Linked DNA regions of Tribolium castaneum. The protein of the gene in region 2 purifies or fractionates together with the protein of the main gene of each other region. This does not show direct contact. Links are inferred from orthologs where the notes say so. Each region holds a gene or a part of one and is shown on either strand. Other genes may lie near its edges.

Region 1 (3,885 bases), on a different chromosome or scaffold from region 2:
AAATTAGATGTGGAGCGTCATCGTCTCACTGACATTGAATTAATTTTTGTAATTTCCTGCCGTCTTTCATACCCACTCAGCTTCAGAAAAACATCGTCGCACTAACACTGCAATTACAGTACAAGCGACAACAACCTTCCAATTAACTAAACACACCGTGGAAGAAAATGCAATGTATTATAACCACTTGTTTGTTTACAACACTCTCCCGCACAAGAGAATGAAGCCGAACAATAAATAATCTGCTACAACCTTGACTCGCAATTAACAATCACAATAAACCAATTACTACATTTTGGTGTAATTTAGCCTTTGTTTAAATAATGATAACAAAAGAGCCAGAATTTATTTATGAGTCAACAGTCTTCAAAAACCGCAACTAGCACGTCCCACTTGTGCAAGCAGATTTCTAAAAGTAGATTGGGTTTTCACTTTTCAACTAACAATAGGCGGTTAAAAGTTTATTGTCCGGTTCAAATGGAATTAAATGTCACTTAATAATTCGGGTGACGACGTCGCGGCGCCTAGGAAAGCCTTCGACTAGACCGGCCGTCTGCGCAAACTAAAAATAGGGAAATGATCCGATTTTCACTATTTTTATCTAGTTTTCACGGTTTTGGGTTACATAATGTCATCAAAAGAAAATTATTTATGGTTGACTATGTTTAGAGAGCGGAGCGCAAATCGGTCATTTTTATTTTCAGAAAAAAATTATAGTGTTTATACAGAGATTTTTATTGGAAACACATCCACACTTTTCGAAAAGTTGCAACAAACGTGCTGAACATTTTCAAAAAAAACTTTAATAAGCAGCTAAAAAGCTATCCTAATGAGCTCAAAAAAATAAATAAAAATAATAAAAATAATAATAATAATAATAATAATAATAATAATAATAATAATAATAATAATAATAATTTTGGAGAAAGAAGAATTGCTGATGTTAAAAAACGCTCTTAGCAGGTTTGAAAAGAAGTAATACATTAATGTAGAAGATTGTAGAAGATTTATAATGCCGGGCGGAGTCTTAAACTGCCTATTTTGAAAATGCCAAGTTGAAAAAAATCTTGGAAAAAGTCTCATTTAATAAGTTAAGACACACATGAATGCAAAAGTGCAAAAGTTATTACATAATATGTTGATTAATGAAGTTGATATGAAATTTTGATAACGGTACATTGTATTGAAAATAAAAAAAACATTTTATAAGTGAATATTTTTGATTAATTAATACTACTGTATGGATAGAAAAAAATACAGGGTGAGCGCGAGGGTGAGTTATTTTTGATTTTTTCTTGGATGCAACCCCGTTTGCGTGTGTGATAAGTTGTGCACGCCGTTCTGAGGTTTAACTGTAGTTAAAAAATCCCACTTGTAATTTTCAAACTTAGCGGTTAAAGCTGTCATTTAATGCCGTCACTTTCCGCTAGATGAGCCCAACATCAACTCTTTTTTCGCGTAGATGAAGTAGCGTAAGCGTGGCTAATCAAGGTACAAAGAGGTAAAATTCTCAAATATTTCTTTCCCCGATCACAATTTAGCCCTAATCTCGTCATTTGCCAACCCTCCACATCCCTTCTAAGCCCAAAAATGGGAAATTAACGTCGTAGTTGTGTCACAAATGTCATTAAACGTAATCTAAACATAGGGTTGGACAGCCACAACCGTCTCAAAATTCCAATTTTCTAAATAAATCGGAAATGTTTTAGGAAAATGAGCAGCTCAGAGGAGGTTTCGTGGATTTCATGGTTTTGCGGACTTAGAGGAAATGAATTCTTTTGCGAAGTAAATGAATTTGCCTGTTTTAAAGACGAGATTTTTGAGTGTATTTGCAGGTGGATGAGGATTATATACAGGACAAATTTAACTTGACGGGCTTGAATGAGCAAGTTCCGCACTACAGGCAAGCTCTTGATATGATACTAGACTTAGAACCGGGTATTTTGAACCCATCCCTGGTTTCACATTTTTTTAACTCGGCTTTTTAGATGATGAACTTGACGATAATCCGAACCAATCCGACCTGATTGAGCAAGCGGCCGAGATGCTTTATGGGTTAATACACGCTAGGTACATTTTAACAAATCGGGGGATCGCCCAAATGATTGAAAAATACCAGTCTGGGGATTTTGGGTATTGTCCACGAGTTTACTGCGAATCGCAGGCAATGCTGCCTTTGGGTAACCCCAACACTTTTGGTATTTTTTTGGGTAATGGTTTGTGCTTTAGGGCTGTCTGATGTACCTGGGGAGGCAATGGTCAAGTCATATTGCCCCAAATGTATGGATGTGTACACACCAAAGTCTTCAAGGCACCACCATACAGATGGGGCCTATTTTGGGACAGGTTTCCCTCACATGCTCTTCATGGTGCACCCAGAATACAGGCCAAAGCGTCCAACAAATCAATTTGTTCCTAGGTATAGCCGAACTGGCGTGAGTCTAATTGAAAGTCTGGTCAAGAGTGCTTGGCGAATTTAATATTGTCAGTTATCAAGTGACAACTGAGAAGTCAAAACCTACTTCATTTCGGAATTTTTGGGATGTTACGTATAATAATCCTCAATAACTTTACACGAAACGAAAAATTAGTCATTTTTTTATTTCGTTGTTTTTAAAGCATTGTCTTGACCCCGCTTTTATTTAGACTCACTTGATTTTTTTAGAATTGTTCTTCAACAAATGATTTCAGGTTATTTGGTTTTAAAATTCATCCCCTTGCTTACCAGTTGCAACAGCAAGCAGCCTCGACTTTTAAGGCGCCTCTGAGAAGTTTGAACTTTAATAATGGTAAACGTTAATTTAAAAGGTGTATACATTTGATTTAATTTATTTCTACCCCAAATTTGTGTATTCTTGTATGTATGAAATTAAATCTTGATTATTTTCTTTCATACTTTTGTATGGCGTTAACTTTGCATAAGGTTAAAAATGTGCAAAAATTCCATCATTTTTATAAATAGGGTTCAATGTATAATAAATTTCCCAGTTTTGTTTTTATAAATGTAAGGATAGTTTAATTTAGAAGCGTCACCGGTTTCGTGTAAAATTAACTAGCATTCAAGTTTGTAAATAACTGATTAAAAAATTCAGATGAGTTGGTGTGTCATGCCTGAGCTTAATTAGTAAATAGAGTGGTCAAAAGTCTGAATTTTTCAATCACACAGCGTAATCTAAGATGTATAAATAACACATTTTAAATAAAACATAGGAAGCAAACCTAGGTTCTGTATTTTTACTTAAGGTAATCACAACCAAGACTAAGTTATGAATTCGCATGTTATCAAATAAAATTTTCTGTTTTTCGTAAGAATCTTTATTTGACCCATTACATAAATAAAACACAGATCAAAATAAACTTATATTTACGCCTTAAACAAAAATTTATCTACAAACACACGCGCGCCTACTGGAACGAGTAGCCCCCGTTCTGTTGCCCCCTCAGCTGGGAGGGGTCCTCCATGGGGGGCATCTGCGGCTGGAACTGCTCCGCTGACAACCTAGTGAACAAAATCCCGACTCCTTCAATTAAAGCTAACAAAACGCCCCCAATGAAGGCGCTCCCGGCCATGGCCGGGAGCCCGTTTCTCGCCGCGAGGATGCCCCCAGTCGCGGCCCCACTTATAATGGAGTTCCAGGGGTCCTCCTTTTTCCTAATGTGGATTAGGGCGCAGTCAATTGTGGAGAACATGCCGCCCCAAACGGCAAAGTTGCCGGCGATTATAGGGGACCGTTGCTTGATAGCAGCCAAACTGCCAACCTAAAACGCAAAATCACCACGGGCTTGTGAAAGGGGGCACATACAAATCGTCTGTTGAAACCCGAAGGGGCGTTGCGAAAGCCTTTAATGCTCTGGAAAACGCCGCCGCCGATGAGCCCCATAGTG
Region 2 (2,898 bases):
AACCAAGCGTTTTCAAAAATTGTTTTTTTCGAAATTTTTGTTTGTTATTGATTACGTGTATAATACACGTATTAATAAATTTTTTGAAAAATTCAAATAAGAAAAAATTTACCAATCGACCATTTTATTATATTGAGTAAGATAAAAAAATAACTAAATCAAATATAAATATAAATATAAATAAATATAAGAGATTTTTTAAATGTTTCTTTTTAAATAAAAATTGACCTGTCTCAAAAATTTTATTTTTTTTGTTTTTTTTTACTAAGATATTTAAGGTGGCTTGTTTTTAAACTAAATGTGAATTTTGTTGTTATACTTTTGGTTCAATCTGTTTACAGTCTTAAACGTGAAACTGTATAACGATTGAAATAGTGTGACTTCTCTGATAAAACTTTACTCACAGCAGACGCTTTTCTGACTGAAAACGCGATGAAACGCTCAAAAAACTAAAATTTTTGACCTAATTTTGTTTAGCAGCAGGAATTGAAGAAAAAAACAGTAGTAAATTAATACAAGTATAATAAAAATGGGTAATTTTTAATACATTTTTTCTATTTTTGTAGATTTCAACCAATTACTAAATTGCGCAAACCGCAGTGGAACCCCACATCCGCCCTAAATCCGCACACTTAATCAAAATTTCAATTTGTCGTTTTGTGGTTTCCGTTTCTTCGACTCTTGCACCTACACAACATCCAATTCCATTCATCTTAAAGCCCTACAAGTGTTAACAATGCAGGCAAAACTTTTCTTAATCCTTTCCCTTCTAACTGTTTTTGTGTACGGCCAAAGGCCTCGAACAAAATCGGGAGACTGCCCCCCGTACCCCAACGTGGGGATCTGTGAAGTGGCCTGTTTCGAAGACAACCACTGTGCCGGCCATTTCAAATGCTGCCGGACGGCTTGTGGCGGCACTTTTTGTACGGCCCCTGTAACAACGAGGCGAATTCAAAGAGGAGGTGAAATGGATACAATTTTTTTTAAAGAAAATTAATTTGTGTTTTAGAGAAACAAGGGTCTTGTCCAGTTGCACCGTCAGGCCCTTGGGTGTGCTCCAGCAGGTGTGCCCTAGACTCGGACTGCAGGGGGGCTAAAAAGTGCTGCAGGAATCGGTGCGGGGCCATGGCTTGCACCAAACCCGAATTTTAATCAGTTACAATTGTAGTATCGTTGTATGAATAAAAATTAGCAAATCGACGCATTTTGTGTTTTATTTATTTCCTTAAAATTTGAAATGGTTTGAGCAAATGTCAATTCTAGCTTATGGGAATGACGTAAAGTGACTTCAGTTTGACAGTTTTTTTTAAAGGTTATGTTATTGTAAAAAAATTGATTTTTTACGAAATGATGGATGTGGCAAAACACAGACGCAGTCGGTCCCGTTCCCCGGACCACCGGAGACACAAAACTGATAGATCGTTTAAAAATGATCGTAATAGGAGACACAGGTCCAGGTCTCATTCCAGGTCAAGAGACCGCCATTCCAGCAGACGCAGGTCTAGATCCAGAGGCACCACAACAAACGGTTTTGAACGAAACGACAAATATGAAGTCACAAAGAAAAAACACCTTGAGGACGAGTTCATGGAGTCCCGACGCCAGGAGCGTGAGATCCTCGGAATGAGGGATTACCCCAGCATTTGGGGCCAATCCCCCGAACCCGAAGACTCCGACAGTGACGTCGAAGACGTCACCAAGAACGCCCCCAAGCTAAAAAAACGGAAGAAGGAAAAGAAAAAATCCCACAAGAAGCATAAAAAGAAGAAGAAAAAGAAGAAGTCTTCAAGTGAGAGCAGTTCAGGGGAGGAAGAGTGGGTCGAGAAGACCACAACCACCAACAAACCCCAAACCAATGCGGAAGAGACCGAAGAGGTGATCGTCGGCCCCATTTTGAAGCCCCATGCCGCCCTGACTCACAAGGAAATGGGCAAGGCTTTGCTCCCTGGTGAGGGGGCTGCCATGGCTGCGTACGTCGCCGAAGGAAAACGGATACCAAGAAGAGGTGAAATTGGACTCACGTCTGAAGAAATTGAAAGTTTTGAAGCCGTGGGTTATGTCATGTCCGGCTCAAGACACAGGAGAATGGAGGCTGTGAGGATACGGAAAGAAAACCAGATTTATTCAGCTGATGAGAAGCGGGCTTTGGCCATGTTCAGCAAAGAAGAACGGCAGAAGAGGGAGAACAGGATTTTGGGACAGTTCAGGGAAATGGTCAACTCCAAACTGGCCGAAAAGAAAAATTAATTTCGTAGAATTGAGTGTTTATTACGTATAAATAAAGTTTTTTTATTACTTAATTTGTTTTACATTGTTGTACCCAACCGGTCCATCCCCCAGGGAAATGTTTGGCGCTGAAAATTGAACTTAAATTTCGGGTCAAAGTGGCCTATGATTTCGAATTAAGTTGGCAACATCTAGTTGCCAACTAAATTTAAAAATCACAGGCGACTTTAATTAAAGACGGAACAAAACGAATGTTTTACTTTACGTATCCCAGATTTTTGGCTAAATCTAGCGCAGCTCGGCTCCGCCGCCCCGACTGACAACTGAAAACTAAAGGCGTGGTGTTTGTAGGCTTTTCTCTTCGGAAAACTTGACGAAATTGTTCATCACTTGTGTTCTGCAGCGTTTCTTCTAAAGTGGCCACTTGAAATGAAGTACTTTGCAGTTAATTCATAAGTTAATTAGGGTATTTACAAGGTATATTGATGCTTCCAGGAATTGTTCCAGTTTGCGCTAATTCCGACGGGTTCCTCACATCAATTAGAAGAACCTGTCTGTTGTCTTTTAGGCTTCTAACGTAGTCAAAAGTTACTTCGTCTGACATTCTGTGGCTTATATTTAACGTTTGTGAGAATTGGGATAGAGGGCGCTCGAGTGACTGGCAATTTTTTA

The links. The genes of interacting proteins can lie anywhere in the genome.
Region 1: the proteins of NKAP family protein CG6066 (region 2) and CkIIbeta purify together in Homo sapiens (co-immunoprecipitation; 3 studies listed by BioGRID and IntAct, counting the BioPlex papers as one, with this or other methods). This does not show direct contact. The link is inferred for Tribolium castaneum from reciprocal best matches to the Homo sapiens genes NKAP and CSNK2B.

What each region holds. Positions count from the first base shown.
Region 1 is NC_087397.1:979,796-983,680, forward strand, and holds CkIIbeta (casein kinase II subunit beta), read left to right. Parts: upstream 1-1,357; 5' UTR 1,358-1,501; intron 1,502-1,709; 5' UTR 1,710-1,713; coding exon 1,714-1,785; intron 1,786-1,835; coding exon 1,836-1,938; intron 1,939-1,988; coding exon 1,989-2,180; intron 2,181-2,229; coding exon 2,230-2,419; intron 2,420-2,691; coding exon 2,692-2,800; 3' UTR 2,801-3,304; downstream 3,305-3,885. Other genes in the region: mitochondrial import inner membrane translocase subunit Tim17-B, read right to left, coding at 3,406-3,759, 3,804-3,885. UniProt on the Homo sapiens protein: Regulatory subunit of casein kinase II/CK2.
Region 2 is NC_087400.1:4,954,048-4,956,945, reverse strand, and holds NKAP family protein CG6066, read left to right. Parts: upstream 1-1,255; 5' UTR 1,256-1,347; coding exon 1,348-2,247; 3' UTR 2,248-2,300; downstream 2,301-2,898. Other genes in the region: waprin-Rha1, read left to right, coding at 737-962, 1,010-1,152. UniProt on the Homo sapiens protein: Acts as a transcriptional repressor. Plays a role as a transcriptional corepressor of the Notch-mediated signaling required for T-cell development. Also involved in the TNF and IL-1 induced NF-kappa-B activation.